Linked DNA regions of Coturnix japonica. The protein of the gene in region 2 interacts with the protein of the main gene of each other region in a biochemical or structural test. Links are inferred from orthologs where the notes say so. Each region holds a gene or a part of one and is shown on either strand. Other genes may lie near its edges.

What was found.
Region 1: the proteins of HDAC4 (region 2) and NR2C1 form a complex in vitro, tested with the Homo sapiens proteins (2 studies listed by BioGRID). The link is inferred for Coturnix japonica from reciprocal best matches to the Homo sapiens genes HDAC4 and NR2C1.
Region 3: the proteins of HDAC4 (region 2) and YWHAQ are reported together in a solved structure, tested with the Homo sapiens proteins (2 studies listed by BioGRID, with this or other methods). The link is inferred for Coturnix japonica from reciprocal best matches to the Homo sapiens genes HDAC4 and YWHAQ.
Region 4: of the proteins of HDAC4 (region 2) and CAMK2D, one has a biochemical effect on the other in vitro, tested with the Homo sapiens proteins (2 studies listed by BioGRID, with this or other methods). The link is inferred for Coturnix japonica from reciprocal best matches to the Homo sapiens genes HDAC4 and CAMK2D.

The regions. Positions count from the first base shown.
Region 1 is NC_029516.1:41,307,213-41,311,388, forward strand, and holds the start of NR2C1 (nuclear receptor subfamily 2 group C member 1), read right to left. Parts: upstream 2,801-4,176; 5' UTR 2,689-2,800; intron 937-2,688; 5' UTR 915-936; coding exon 861-914; intron 1-860. UniProt on the Homo sapiens protein: Orphan nuclear receptor. Binds the IR7 element in the promoter of its own gene in an autoregulatory negative feedback mechanism. Primarily repressor of a broad range of genes.
Region 2 is NC_029522.1:3,010,468-3,014,212, reverse strand, and holds part of HDAC4 (histone deacetylase 4), read right to left. Parts: intron 916-3,745; coding exon 799-915; intron 718-798; coding exon 519-717; intron 1-518. UniProt on the Homo sapiens protein: Responsible for the deacetylation of lysine residues on the N-terminal part of the core histones (H2A, H2B, H3 and H4).
Region 3 is NC_029518.1:87,878,912-87,882,940, forward strand, and holds the start of YWHAQ (14-3-3 protein theta), read right to left. Parts: upstream 2,801-4,029; 5' UTR 2,649-2,800; intron 1,771-2,648; 5' UTR 1,680-1,770; coding exon 1,386-1,679; intron 1-1,385. UniProt on the Homo sapiens protein: Adapter protein implicated in the regulation of a large spectrum of both general and specialized signaling pathways. Binds to a large number of partners, usually by recognition of a phosphoserine or phosphothreonine motif.
Region 4 is NC_029519.1:50,655,346-50,659,308, reverse strand, and holds the start of CAMK2D (calcium/calmodulin-dependent protein kinase type II subunit delta), read right to left. Parts: upstream 2,801-3,963; 5' UTR 2,668-2,800; coding exon 2,600-2,667; intron 2,010-2,599; exon of another isoform or gene 1,980-2,009; coding exon 1,885-1,979; intron 1-1,884. UniProt on the Homo sapiens protein: Calcium/calmodulin-dependent protein kinase involved in the regulation of Ca(2+) homeostatis and excitation-contraction coupling (ECC) in heart by targeting ion channels, transporters and accessory proteins involved in Ca(2+) influx into the myocyte, Ca(2+) release from the sarcoplasmic reticulum (SR), SR Ca(2+) uptake and Na(+) and K(+) channel transport.

The DNA of each region.
Region 1 (4,176 bases), on a different chromosome or scaffold from region 2:
TAAACTTGCCATCCTCCTCTGCAACTGGAACACATGCTTCAGCCAGCTTCGACTAATCCCCAGTTTCCAAAACACAAGAAACAGGAATTACAGCCCCACCTAGGCTTCCCCAAGGACTTATCCTACCAAACAAAGCTACGCTACACACACCATTCCCCCCTGTAAAGAGGAAAAGGGAGAGAAAGAAAAAAAATTACAACTACCTTAGTAGTTCTCAGATGCTACAATACTGAAAAGCGTAAGAATTTATACAGAACAGATTTACCATCCTGCATGTCCCCAGCTGTTACATTTGAAATCAAGACCGAGAGGAACTAAAATTACGTGCAATCTTATCCTATCCACAGTACTAGACAGGGAACCAAGAGTGGATATTTCAAGCTAATAAATGTTGTTTTCTGCTTTTATCTAATTTAAAGCGCTGCTAATGATCGAATGTTCTAGTTAAGTATGTATACACTGATTCACACTTCCAAACTGCTTGTGCATCTCTGGAAGTTCTTTAGCTGCAGTATGCACACTTTGTATATAGGTTAAAGGAAATGAAAAACAGGAGCCAACAGAAAGAGTTCAGTTTCCCTCTGACTTACACCAAATGTCAACCAATATTTTACAATGCAGACCACAGCAAGCCTTTACTTATAAGAACAAAAGTGACAACGAATGAATTCTGTAACTGGAATGTAACATCTATATAATGACAACTTTGATGGTAATCAATAAGTTCATCTTCCATGTGAGGGTCTCCTGAAGCTTGGAGTGTACTAAGAATTACTTTCTCTTGGGACCTGGATTTTTACATCTTACTCTGTCCATTTTATTATTCAATGCCTCCTAAATATGATGAAAAAATTCTGTACCTCTCCCATTTGCTGCTCAATAATTTGATGGGCCAGTTCCTCTATGGTTGCCATGACTGTTAATCACCAGAATTTCCTGTCAAAAAACAAAAAAAGGAAAGAAGATGCTTAACATCTACAGCCTTTCTAATAAAAAACACCTTCGGGAAAATAGGGTCCATAGACGTAAATCACACTCATAATTGTCTGCAGGTGACATCCCTGCAAAAATGTGAAGCTTAATTATACTGTGAAAGTAATAAATTATCTCCTATTTGCAACCTTCTGTATCTTTGTACTCAACTCACATTTTCCCTCACTATTCTCACAAAGAGCAACAAAATAATGAACTCCCTGAGAACAGAAGGTTATTATTGGCCCTGACATTAGCAGGGACATAATTAACACCTTAAAACTAGAACCTGGCCAATTTTGTTGATGCAAATCAAGGGCAAAAAATTTAACTTCTAAATACACACGGATCCATTTGTGCAAGTAAGAGTGTCTGAAGGCCAATTCTACACTTAGCATCAGTATTACGGTTGCAGGGTAAGAAGTCCAGATCTTCATGAGAAGGTTTTTCTAGGATTTAATACATTACTGCTGTAATGCAGCATTAAGTATCCAGATGTATGCATTGTTTGTCTGGGCATCTATGTCCAGATATTCATTAGGCAGTTTGTGAAAGGAACAGACACAAATTATGAAGCACTACACTTCATTTTCTGACACAAGTTGTATTAGGAACACTTATACAAGGCAAGACAGTACTCTTACATTAAAGGATTTATCTATACACAATATTTGTTTCAAATACAGAATATATTTGAATTATATAGCTTTTACGTTGCAGACAAAGTGTTAATAGAAGTAGTTATATATGTAGGAAAGCTGTACATATAACAAGTATAATCGATTTTCCCCCTTTAACTTTGCTAGCACTTCTAGGAACTATCTACTATCCCAATGAACTCTTAAATTAATTCATTAATTCATTAAATTGAGAAGATGACAGGTAGATACATAAAACATCTAAGACTAAACCTTACGTTGAAAAGCATTCTCTCCTTAGAAAATCTAATCAGTACCAATATCTTTGCAGGAGTGCTCTATTAAAGCACTCACACATACAGTGAGCTGCAAAACAACCACTAGGAAAGATTTTCAAGCCTGCTGATGCCCGGTTTGAATCCCCCCTGTGGCGCAAGTGGTAGAAGTGCCGCTCTGCTACACAGGGGCTCAAATCCCGGGGGTTGGACTCGATGATCTCTAAGGTCCCTTCCAACCTGCACAAGACTGTGAGACTGTGATGCTGTGATACTGTATTCCAACAGATGTTTTCTTAAGTGGAATTACAGAACAGCTTCGCAGGAAGGGACCATTTTCAAGCCCACCCAGCTCCAACTCCTCTGCCATGGGCAGTGCTGTCCCCCACTGGCTCAGGCTGCCCAGGGCTAAATCCTGCTCGGTCCTTAATACCTCCAGCGATGGGGCACCCACAAATTCTCTGGGCAACCTGTTCCAACACCTCACCACCCTCTGAGGAAAGACTTTCCCCCTAACACCTAATCTAAATCTCTCCTCTTTAAAATTGTTCAGTCTTTTCCCATCGCTATCAGAGCATGTCAAAAGTTAGCCTCCCTCCTGTTTAGAAGCTTCCATTTACTGGAAGGTTGCAATGAGAGCACCCCAGGGCCTTCTACAGGCTGAACACAAGTTTGAGGTCTGCTCCTGCCTGCACCCCCTGATGCCAGCACTGGTATATCTGTGACCTCATAGCCAGAAGCAAAGCTTTATGTTAGTTTGTGTTAGTTTTCAGCCCAATGAATGACTTAACTCATTACATTACCATAAAAATGCTACTGCTGCACCACTGGTGGCTTGGAACTGTAGGATCACCCCTTTCCACAGCCACAGAATGATGTCCACTTAGGCCATCTGAAGTCTCCCATGCATTCGCACAGCTCTATAAACTGCTGTGAGGTGAGCCTTGGAGTTTAGACACACTTATTTTGGAATTTTATGGATGAACCTGGTGAAGAAACAAGAAAAAGAGGATGAAAATAAAGCAACGGGCAGCCCCAAGAACAAACCAGGACACGTATATGACCACAAAGTGGTCTGGCAGACTTCTGGTCCACATGCTGAAGTACATGCACAGGAAGCAATGTAAAACTATATACATGACATCACTAAAAACAAGTACAAAATCCTTCACTTGGCAAAGAATTTGAGGTCATTTGCTACATTCCTCGGGTTCTTCCTTGTACACATTAGTATATTTGCGCTTCTGTAGCACAGCTTAGGTACTATTCACCTGCTAACGTTTGGCCTGAGAAACACAGGAGAGATAAATCTCTCTTGAAACATTCCCTCCTGGAGAGAGAAATGGATCTGAATGTTAACAGGAAAGGTTATCAGACCCCAAAGCCACAACCGGTTTGCTCAACAAAAGCTGCCTGCAGCCCAGGAGAGGCCCATGGAGGAGCAGGGCATCCTCCTGCAGCCCACAGGTACCATACGAAGCAGATCTCCATGTGCAGCCATGGAGGAGCCCATGGTGCAGCAGTGGATGAGGCCTGGAGGAGCCACAGCACATGGGGAGCCCCTGCAGGAGCAGCTGCATCTGAAGCTGCAACCTGTGGGGTGAAGCCTGTGGTGGGGCAGGAAGGCTGGGGGAGCTGCTGCTGATGGGGACCCATGTGGAGCAGTGCCTGAAGGGTGGGCCCTGTGGTACAGAGCTGTGCTGGGGCAGTGCTTGGAGAGCTGCAGCCTGTGGGAAGGCCATGAGGCATCAGTTTGAGAAGGATGGAGGGACCCCATGTGGAGGAGGGGCAGAGAGAAACCATGGAGGAGCAGCAGGGACGAAGCATTACAGACTGCAGCCCCACTCCCAGTTCCCCTGCGCCACTCACAGGGTGGGGAAATAGAAGAGAGCGGGCAAGGAAGGTAGTGTTTTCAGTTGGCTTTCAGTTCTCACACTTCCAGTCTGCTTTGCTTTGACAGTAGCTGGTGACTGATATCCCTGTCCTTACCTTAACACATGAAAGTTTTTCACATCTCCTCCCCATCCTTCTGAGGAAGAGGAGTGTAAGAGCAGAATGATGGTGCTCCCCAACCTAATGGTGTTAAATGACCACATCCACACACTCTGATTAAGAAGTTTTATTACTGAGGTATGTATATTCAGGTTGTTATGCACTCGTGAGAGAAACTTCTACTAGTGTTAGAGACTGTATTTAAAGCTTGAAGTGGTTAACTATATTCTGAAAAAGATGTCTTTGCTGTTAGAACTCTTTTGGAAGGGTGATGGGAGTTTATATCAATTTCCTTTGTT
Region 2 (3,745 bases):
TAATTCTGAAAACATGACACAGGGAGTGATTCAAAGCAATTAACATGCTGCAAATGTAACATATACAAACAAATACAATCTGGTGGAACACAGTTGGTTTTGCCACATTTTTGCTATTTGTAATAACCATAAAAAGCCAGTATTTTAATCTGTGATTTTCTAAATGCATGCTTCTGTTTTACCTGGAACAGAAACCATCAGTGATCAACAGGAAGGGCAATCACAAGACACAACATTTTTGTTGCCTATTTACAGTGGCCAGAACTCCAAAGATACTCTTTAAATTGTTGCATGCAGAAGAAAAGCGTAAGCCTGAAAGTACACGCTATTTAATTTCATTCTGTCAAAATGACAAGGCATCTTCCTCCTGCCTATGGATGATGTGGCTACTCTAGCTGGAAACTACCCATCATATACATTGGAGAGCCTACAAATGTGTAAGTTAAACCTACGAAACACATTGATAATGTTCAAGGTACTGCATGTCAGGCTTTGCACATTATCTACCATGTGCTCACCTGTGACTAAGGGAGTTTGTGCAGTTGGCTGCTCCAGTAAGACCATGTGCTGCAGAAGAGGGTTGTGTGTGGTTCCCCCATCTCTTTCCAACGCTGTAGTGCTCAAGTAGGGAGTGAGGTGGGTGCCAGGAAATAAAGAGATCCGCTGCTGCAAGGCTGGGATAGCAAGTCTCTCAGCATCCTGCTGCGCGGATCCTCCCTGCAAACACCCAGGTGATGTCAGTGTGGGTTAAAGGAGAAATCAAGCACCAATTCAAAGCCCATGTTCCCCATCACTTACACTGGAAGGGCCGGTGGCAGGCAGTCCTAGTGTGATGTTGGGCAAAGAAGGAGACGTGTAGAGTGGAAGCTGCGTTACGGAGCCTTCGCGATTCACCAGTCGGTGAGCCAGGCTGGTCTGCAAAGAAAAGGAAAACGCTGTCCCAGTGAGACTGCACCACCCATCAGAGAGGGAGGACGCTGCTCAGCGCTTGTGAGGGCCCAGCAGGAGAGTACAGAGCAGGAAACTTCACTTCTGACATTGGGAATACTGAAAGAGGGAGGTAAGCTGTGCTTCAAGACCCAGCCTTACTTCTCTTTCCATAGCGTTTGCCCTTTTAAAGCAAAAACAGATTACCATAACAATAAGAAAGGCATTACTGCAGTGGTTGTTTTCTTTAGCAAATCACAGACAATTTACCCTATTTACCAGCATGCTTTAGCTGAAATCAGACTTCGAAATTTCATCAAAGGGCCTTTTTATGTTGCCATTCCCCGATTTTCAGGCTGAAATGTAAGATTTACTGAATTACCTTGTGGCCATTTAAAGCAGGAGCACTTAAGTAAAAACACCTAATTACAAAATGAGATTGATTTGAAATACTTGGTAGAAAGCCCATTATAAAAATTACATTATTTTAAAGTGCCTGATTTTTCTATTAAGAAAGAAGTGTTCCATTCACTTAAATCACCTTCAGTAAAACTTAAAAAAGCAGCTTAAATAAACAACTTAAATCAAACAGCGCTTAGATTTCAGGAAGATTTGCTATGGAATATCTACTGTTTTAACTCTGTTGCTGCTGTGGATAAGAAAGTGATAATGGTTAATCTAGTATGTATCAATGACACACATTATTCCCATAGCAAAAGAGAACTGGATAATGGATTTGTACATTTCAGACCTAAACAGTTATGTGAGGAAATGGGACTTGGCAGGTTACTTCCTTGATTGCAAGACTCGGCCAACTCTGGGTAACAAAAACCTGTTTTTCCCCTCAAAAGGTGTAACGTGGTAACATCACTACAGCAACCACTGGGGTGAGGGAAAAAAGGGCAGTAAAATAAGAAAAAATACTGAAAAAAAAATAATGCACAGCAACCTCAAATAATGCACAGCAACCTTCAGAAGCAATCCCGCCTCCTTGGTTCACAGCAAACCTGGTGGGCCAGTTGATGTCTCTAACAGGAGAGCCCAACTCTATGAGCTGCGAGTTAGTGATGCCCGTGGAAGAAGAGCAAACCTGCCCATGACTGCATGAGTAACCCTTACAGGACCCTTATGACCTGCAGCTCGTGGTCCCAGCACCCAACCAGGTCTGAATTCCATACATCAAGCAAAGCTGCTTAACTTTCATACAATACCGTGCGAAATTTCATCTGCGGAGTGAATTTTTTATTTCCCTTTGTCTTATTGTGCCTTCATTAACGTCAGTCAAGCTTATGGGAAATATATTAAACAGTAAATCTGCTTTTAAGATCTCGGTTACAAATTTGCTGCCACAAAGGAGGAAATTGGAAAAGAGCATTTTGCTGCTGAATGGTACCTGCTATGGGCGTATGATTGTGCATACCCACACACTCCTCTTTCCTAGTAATTCTGAACACTACTGGCAATTTTCCTTTAATTTAAATAACACAAAATGTTATCACGCCACATTGAGAGCAAGATAGTTATTGCCAGCAGAGTAATGAAATATTTTACTGATACCGTAAACGAAATCAACCAACATCCATTTTCTCTTTGAACCATCGGTAAAGTGGAGTTGTGCCTCAAAACATCTCCTGGGGATTCGTTTCAAAAACAATGATGAGAAAAACACTACAAGCGTAAGATATTTAGCAGCATTATCATCGCTTTAAATACACAAATCCCATCACTGGATTGTACACAAACACTGTTAGAATTGCACAGAAGAGAGCAATTTCAGCATGCACAATTTTCCCCTGTGATCGAGTACTTTTCAAAGGCAGCTAACAGCCTGCAATGGCAATGAATCTCACATACCTTTCCAAGGCAGAAAAAAACTTTCAGACCTAAAAAACATTGTTTAAAAATAGGCATTGTCTATTTTAAAGGAGGCAGTGAGCTCAAGTCTTTCTATTGGGAAGGCAAGCACTTGAACTTCAGCGATGAAGTCCAACACCACATTCCAACACACCTGGAATGGTTAAAGAGGTGAGCGAGCAAACTAACAAGCAGAAGGACACATTGCTCACTTAAAACTAGAAAGTAAAGGTAAGCATAAAACAGAAAGTTGCCAACACTGATGTTTCAGAGGCATTTCAATCAATATTCTACACAAATGTGGGAACGTAATGCGAGCCTAGTCAACTGGTATCAAAGAAATCTTAAGCTGCTGGGCTGCTAGGTAATACTTCTTGCACCAAAGAGGATTCAAAAGAAACCAAAATCTTGCCACATGTAGTTCTTCCCAAATAAACCTCTCCAGGCAAAAGGATCAGCTACTTTCATGCTACACAAAACGCAGAGCCATTTTCCCCCTAGACTGATGCAAGGAACTTGGACATTTAGCTAAGCCATTCCACCAGGCCTGAAATGCTGGGAGAACAATTTGTGCGATGGGTTATCGACGTCCTGCTTGCCATCACACAGTGATTTATACTCTATTCTGTTCTATGATGGCAGCGATCCAATATACTTTATGCAGTCCTGGACACCTTTAACATTAATACTGCACAATCATTTGTACGTTATATATTCATTATTTCCCCCCAAAAATAGGAAAAGGTAAAAACACTCCAAGCATTCTCTTCAGGGAGATCACAACTACATTTTCTTCCTGATTTTTATATAAGAAAATGGTATGTGATGTGTTGTTCTTTCTATAAGTTTAGCTCAAGGTGCTTCCTTCCCCACATGCAGAGGTGTTGCTGTGAATTAGCCACTGTAATACAGCTGCAAAAAGAGGCAAAGGGAAGGTGGTGGCCTTTGAAGCTCAGAGGCTTGA
Region 3 (4,029 bases), on a different chromosome or scaffold from region 2:
TTCTTTACTAGGAGAGTGGTTAGGCCCTGGAACAGGCTGCCCAGGGAGGTTGTGGATGCCCCATCCTTGGAGGTGTTCAAGGCCAGGTTGGACGGGGCCCTGGGCAACCTGATCTAGTAAAGGTGTATGTTTGGTGGCCCTGCCAGGCAGGGGGGTTGGACTTGCTTGTTTCTTGAGGTCCCTTCCAACCCGGGTCATTCTGTGATTCTGTGATTTTATAGAAGGCCTCTGACTCACAGTTAGAAACGAATCCAGGAGGCAGCATGTGAGGAAGCACACAGTATTTTCAATACAATCCAAAGCACCCTTGTACATGAGCCAAAACACTTCTCAAGATGCAAAATCCATTACTTCCAAACCAGCCATCTTTAACCTCAGGTCTCCTAACCCGATTCAGGGTTAAATCAAAAACTGTTTATTTCCTTACTCACTTCCTTTCTCATGCTTGCAATACTAGACATCAAAAATACACAGCTTAACCACTGAAGATGACATGCCACACCATCAGCACTGCACTACACACACACAGCTTCCTGCAGTCAGTAGACCCTGATCACACACAACAGGCTTGCACACTTCCCATGTTGCTGACACAGGTCTGTGGAGCTCCTGCTGCACTGCAATGCTGCTTCACCATCAACAGCATCTGGAATTCTGCTCCTCACATGGAAATATATTGCTGGGCTTTGAAACATGCCCAGGTGCACAATACCTGTCATGGAATATCCTGTTTCCAAGCCACAGTTGTGCATTAGTCCAAAATAACTGCAAATTCACTTTTAACAGCCCCCACTAAATCAACTTGAGTGTGACAAAGCAGATTTCTACCTTTTTCTTTCCTACTTTCAAGGAAGATGTCTTCCTTTATGAAATCATACCTTATTACCTAGGAAAGAAAATCTAAAAAATGCCTCTTTAAGGCCTTTAAAGAGTGTTTTTCCTCACATGAAGCAGCACATTAAATGAACGCCATTAATTTAAATGCATTTAACAGGTTACTAGCACCAACCTTCAGAAATAAAGGGCTTTCATTTTCTTTTCAGCTTACCTTGTGAAGATTAGCTTACAAACCAAAGCACAAGCCTAAATTCCCTGCATCTCTGTGCTCAGCTAGCGTAGTACTGCACACAGGTAACTCCATCAGATGTGCATCTCAAACACAGCTTAGCACACCTCGATTACTTCTGCATATACAGCACCCGCAGCAAAGTGCAGATGATTTTCTGTCTCAAAGTAACCAATATGGCAGCTGCAAAAGTTACTGAACTACCCACTCCAGCATAATAGCTCACATAGTGCCCAGCCCATTTCCCACCCTCCTCAAAACAGCAGCATCCCGCTTCTCTCTTTTGATAAAACACGGAAAAAGGAAAGGCCCCACTCACCAGCACCGTGGTGCAGATGGACCTGAGCTCAGACTCCACCTTCTCCCTATAGTCCTTGATAAGCTGCATCTTCTTGTCGCTGGTGTCTGTCTTTTGCTCGATGCTGGAGATAACCCTCCAGGCAGAGCGTCGCCCCCCCACCACATTCTTGTAGGCCACCGAGAGCAGGTTGCGCTCCTCGTTGGACAGCTCAGCCCCCTGTTCCGTCACCGCCTTCATGCAGGTGGCCATGTCGTCATAGCGCTCAGCCTGCTCCGCCAGCTTGGCTTTCTGGATCAACTCGGTCTTATCCATGGTGGCCGGCGGCAGGACGAGGGCAGTGTTGTAGCAAAGGCAGGAGAAGCTGAGGACGTCACTCTGCCAGCAAGAGAACGAGCCTCAGAGCCTGCCAGGAGAAGGACAGCAACCGTGACTCCAGGAGCCAACGCTGTGGATGGTGTCCTTGCAGCCCCCTTACTGGGACTGTAGGGAGCTCCCCATTCCCAAGTACATCCCATGGCGCAGCACTGGCACCGTCCCTCCCTTGGGCAGAAGCAGGCACTGGTACCGGGCCCACCCTGGGGAAGCAACAGCCCAGAAACCCAGCCGGGGATGGGTCACAGTCCCTCGGCCAGAGGACCGAGCACCGGGCAGTCGTACCAACGTACCACAGCGGCTTTTGTCCTTACTGTGCCAACACACTTAAGAGCTGCTCAATGGAGCCGCACAGCAGGACACCCAGCTCCCAGGCAGCCCGAGGGCCTTCCCCACGTGCCTTCACCCCGCAGGGGAGGGCAAAGAAAAAGGAGGAAACAGAAAAAAAAGCTATTTAAAAAGAAAGAAAGGAGAACAGCGCGCTCGGAGCTGAGGCCGCAGCTCAGCGGGGCTGGAGACAACGCCGGGGCCGGGCGGGGCCGGGCGGGCAGCTCGGGCCGCTTCGCCTCCTGGCGGCGGGGCGAGGCGGGACCATCCCCCCGGCGGGAGCGGCCCCGGCCCCGGCACGGAGCCCCTCCATTCCCGGCCGCTGGGTGGGGTCGGGGCCCGGCGGCTCCGCGTTGGCCTCGTCCCCGGGGACCGCGAAGCGGGGGGCGGCGGAGCGGGACGAGCGTGGCCGGGCGCGGAGGACGAAGCCCCGGCGGGTACGAAATGGCGGCGCCGCCCGGCGGCTCGTTCCGCAACCCGGCACCGCCGAGCGCTCCACGCCGCGCTCACAAAATGGAGGACGCGGCGCCGAGGCGGGGCACGGCGGCACGGCCGGCGGGAAGCGGCCCACGCCGCGCTCACCTGAGTCCGCTGCGCTGCGCTGCGCTAGGCCGGGCCGGGCCGCACCCGATCGGCTGCGCCTCGCTCGGGATGTGGCGGAGAGAAAGAGCCGCTCCCGAAGCGGGCGAGAGCCAGCGCTAAAGGGCGTTGGCACGGCCGAGCCTACCCGCCGCTCGGCCCGCGCCCACGCGGCCAATCGCGGCCTCTCCTGCGAGCCAGGCCCCGCCCCTCCGCTCCCCGCCGGCCAATCCGAGGGCAGCGCGCCGCCGCGGGGGCGAGCGCGGGCAGGGCGCGAGCTCGGTTGGCCCGTGGGCTGCGGCTGGGGCCACGGGGTTTCCTCCAATTAGATCCAGGGTGAGATGACGTCACTGTCGCCATGGCGATACTGCTACAACCCCCCCCCCGCCCAACCCCCGCTCCACCACGGTGGGTCGGCACCGACACGGCGCGGGAACGGGCGGGGGCGGCCGGCGGGGGCTGCCCGTGCTGTGGGGGCTGCCCGTGCTGTGGGGGCTGCCCGTGCTGTGGGGGCTGCCCGTGCTGTGGGGGCTGCCCGTGCTTTAGCTCCCTGGCTGTGTCGCCATGGGGCCGTGCGGGGCGGGCTCGGTGCCCCCTCCGTAGGGCGGCTGTGGGAGGACACAGTGCGTGGTGCCGAGGCTGGGCTGCGGGCTGGGCTGCCCGGCGCCCTCCCGGCGCGTTGTCTCCTGTCAGGAATGCTGCCTTTGTGCCGCCGCTCGGTCGGGCGAGAGATTTCAGAGAGAGGGAAGATTTAGGTTGGATGTTAGGGGGAAGTTCTTCACTAGGAGAGTGGTTAGGTCCTGGAACAGGCTGCCCAGGGAGGTTGTGGATGCCCCGTCCTTGGAGGTGTTCAAGACCAGGTTGGACGGGGCCCTGGGCAACCTGATCTAGTAAAGGTGTATGTTTGGTGGCCCTGCCAGGCAGGGGGGTTGGAACTACATGATCCTTGAGGTCCCTTCCAACCCGGGTCATTCTGTGAGCTGTGCCCCAGGAGCCCGGTGACAGGAAATTGCTCGTGAAGAGTTAATGGCGCTGTGCCGTGGGGCCCTGAGCGGGGAGCGACCCGCGCTGACATCAGTAACCATCGATGTCCATTGGTCCTAAAGGCCTCAGGCTCAAACCTCCCTTCAAACAGCACAGTGTCTACGTGAAGCAGTGAAATCCCTCACCTTTGCTTCCAGCATCACCAAATTTAGTCATGTCCTGCTACTCCAGCATCCTGAAGGGATGATGAATGCTCTGAATCACCTCAGGATGTTGTCGTCTCAGCTCGGAGTGCTCCTGTCTGTGTTCAGATAGGGCTGTGATGAGGCATGTGGGCATTAGGTCTGTGCTGTGAACCGACACTGCCGGTCATTTCAATGGAGGGATGCATTTACTCTGT
Region 4 (3,963 bases), on a different chromosome or scaffold from region 2:
GACATCACCCTGTGTTTAGAAGGGCTGCTAAGGGAAGGATCCAAACAATCTCCAACATCATTTGTGGCTGGAGTGACAATTATTGTTGTATCAAGGCTGACACAGTCAAATAATTTTTCAACTCAAATCATGTTGAGTTCTCCTTTAGATTAACAGCCGTGACTCCTCCCCATCAAAACACTGTAATGGCAACTCTGTCTTGCAAGCAAGAAGGCTCAAATTTGATGTAGTGCTTCAGAGTTACAGACAAGCAGGGTTGTACATGGGATACATGGCAAGCTGAGAACCTCTAACCGCTCACAGATGAAGCTCACCCAATAACCTTCAGATTTACATTATGATCTGTATTTCAGGTGAGAAGCTGGAAACATCAAAGTGAACTGCTACCTCATCATAAAGCAGATCAGACAGGAGGAGAATGAAACTTATAATTTAGATACTACTTGAAATGTAGTCCGAGTTGTAAGCTGCATACTTAGTATCAGTCACGTTAAAGTATCACAGACAGAGGCACTGCAAGTAACACCCTTTTGTAACTGCAGAATTGCTTAAGAGGAATCCCAGGATCTCTGTAAGGAGCTTGCTCTTCAAAAGCTGCTGAGATGTTGTTATTTGTCTTCCAAAAGATAAAAGCTAAAGAACAGCAGTGCATGTAAACTAAAATAATAAAATAAAATCTGGAATCTTTGAAAGCCAAGATGGAAATGGATCCACTGCATTCGTGGACACAGCATCACATTCATTCACATATGGAAGAATATTTCACAGCCCAGTTACCAACCTCGAAAACCCAACTCCTTGCTTTATGGGCCTACACTTCAAACCAACAGAAATTTTTCTTTGCATGAGTTTTGCTACATTCCACCTTGCCAGCCAAATTCTCCCCAGCAGGTCTGGGTGCATCAATGGGCTGCAGTGAGGACCAACTCGGTCCTGCCTGAACAGCCAAGGAAGCACAAAATGAAAGCCTGAAAAACAGCATGTCTCAAATGATGACTTCTAAGGAAGACTACAGAGCTGACACCACTTGCTTATTCACTTTCACATTCTTTACCATATCACAAACTCACATCAAAACACAGGTAGTGTTAACAGAGAATAATCCCTAATCCTCGACATCCTCCTACAATCACTTTGACGTGGGTTTAACAAGGAATTGACATATCTCCATTGAGGCTTGCTGCCGACAGCAGTAACCTACAGCACACACGTGACCACCCAAATGTATCACCACGACTTCCCACTGACAGGCAGAACATAAGGGAAACAAACATGTTACAGTAAAACCTAAGCATGCGGTGCAGCAGGCATTAATGCTGGGCTGGAGCTGTGACACAATGTGTCATTCAGAATGACTTGTGTTCACAAATGGACGCTTCAAAAAAGGAATTTTCCCTTTCCCCGGGATCTCATCACAAAGTTCAGTACAGGAGGGGGCATCACACTCTTCTCCACGGATTCAAATAGGCCTTTTTCACGTTTCAGTTTAAATGCAATGGAAACTTTGAATTCAGAAAAGAAAACACATATTTATGATAAAAGCCGCAATGTCAACTTGTTTCCCAGCCTTCCCCTAAAAAAATCAGAGTGTACAATCCTTTCCAGTTTTTCCAATGTAAAAACGGGAAGAGGATGCACTCATTTAAATCACTTCATAAAGCTTCCCTTTAAGGTACAGCAACACAGCCCTCCATACGGTTAACCTCTGAAACGTTTAGCATAAAAAAGAACCACTGCCTGAAAGGAAATGAAGAAAATTACTGAGAAAATTAATAACCTTAATTCTTATTATTCTGTGCTCCGTTTTAACGCTCGCCACAAGAATGCAAGAAATGAGGAGAAGATATCGTAAACGCTCGGTTGGAATATATGGAATATACCCACCCCTGGCCGAGAGCTTTTTGGTGTTGATGATTTTGGCAGCATACTCCTGTCCTGTGGTGATTTTCATACATCGCCTCACGACCGAGAACGCTCCTCTGCAAGCCAAGAGGGGACAGAGCGTCAGTGCCACCCGAACAGCGCCCTGCCATTACCACCGCGCTGCCACACATCTAAAGGAGCGGAACGATGCCCAAAGAATTAAGGGGGGGAGGGAACGGGATAATAAGAAAAATAAATTGTAAGAAGAAGGGAGGCTTGTCAGAGACGGTCAGCGCTCATTTTAATCAACGCAACAGCAAAACGCTGCTCAGAGCCGCTGTTTCGAGCGGTGCGACCGAAGCGCTCTCCCGGCGGCGGCACGTTGCGGCCCCGGGTCCCCGTGTCCGTGCCAACATGGCGATCGGGGATACGCGCCCCAACGCAGGGGGGCGCCCGACGAACCGGCCGCGGTCGTGTCGGGGGTAGCGAGCTCCGGCTGCCGCCGGCAGGGCAGCCCGGCAGCAGGGCAGCCCGTCACCGCCCGCAGCACCCGCAGGGATTGCCGCCCACCCGGAGCTGTGCTCACGGACCGAGTCTCAGCCTTGAAGCGACGCCCGGGGACGAGGCAGGGCTGCAGGCATCGCCCCGCACACCCCAACCCGCGGGGACGGAGCCCCCCCGACTCTCAGTGTTTCCCTCCTCTCCCCCCTCGTCCCCGGAGCGGCCCCGTACTTACTTGCCGAGCTCCTCGTAGAGCTGGTACTCGTCGGTGAAGCGGGTGCAGGTGGCGGTTGAGGCCATCATGGGGACGGGCGGCCGCCGGTGCCTCCGGCGGCCAGGGGAGGCGAGGCGGCGGAGGGGCTGCGGGGTGGGCGAGGCGATGCGAGGAGCGGCTCCGCGCCGGCTTCTCCTCCCCGCCGCCGCCGCCGCCGCCGCCTCTCGTGTCGGGGCCGCCTCCTCCCCGCCAGGCGGCTCGTCCCCGCGGCGAGTCTCTCCCCTCCCCGCCGCCGCCGCCGCCGCCTCTCGTGTCGGGGCCGCCTCCTCCCCGCCAGGCGGCTCGTCCCCGCGGCGAGTCTCTCCCCTCCCCTCGTCCCCACCCTCTGGGAAAATAAATAAATAAAACGTCGCGGCGGAGAGGCGGCACCGAAAGGGAAAGCAAAACCGGGCCGGGGGGCGCGGCGCGGCAGCCGGCGACGGGGCGCCCCGGCCCTACGTTCTCCCGAGCCCGCGGGCAGCGGGGCCGCCTTGCCTCGCTCCGCGCCGATTCCCGGTGCCGTGCCTCCCCCTAGCGATACGAGCCCAGCGCTCGCGGCCGCCCCGTCGCGGCTCTCTGCCGCCGCCCGTCGGGGCCGCTCTGGCAAGGGGGGCTCCGCGCTCGGGGAACGGCCGCGCGAAGGGCCGATCCGATTCGATCCGCACCCGGCACGGAGGCGGGAGGCGCCGCCGGCCCCGAGGAAACGGATGCACCTGCGGCCCGTTCCTCGGCGACCGCTGACGTCAACAACCGCCCCGCGGGGGCGGGGGGGCGGCCGTGCTCGGGGGCGCGCGCGGCGGCAGCCGGAGGGAAGCGGGACCGCGCGACACCCCCCCCACCTCCTCCTCCTCCTCCTTCTCCTCCTTCTTCTCCTCCCGGGGCTCCGCAGCGCGGGGTGGGCTCGGGGGCTGTGACCTTGGGCTCGGTCCTGCAGCGGGGAAGGGCGGCTCCGCAGCACCGGAGGAGGGTTGGACGACAGCGGGGGTCCCAACACGGAGCGTGCACCGTGCTCGGTTAGAAGGGCTGGGAATGCCGCTGTCGTGTCACTGAGAGCCGTGCTGAGAGTGGGGTAAAGCGGCTGTGTGTGGGAAATGGTGCGGCTGAAGTATCAACGCATCTGGTTTTATAGACATTTCATCCATAAGATTTCTGTCCAAAATATTTAAAGCCAAAGCAGCAGCAGCAGGTGAAGAGCTGCTGATGGTGGTAACGGCAGCATTCTTCACAGTCCGAAGTTGGAAATCATTACAACGTGCCTAAAACCCTTCCCAAATGTGGCTGCTTCCACACCCGCCGCCAAGGCGCACGCTGTTACATGCAGCCATACTCCCAGCCCAGGCCCTGGC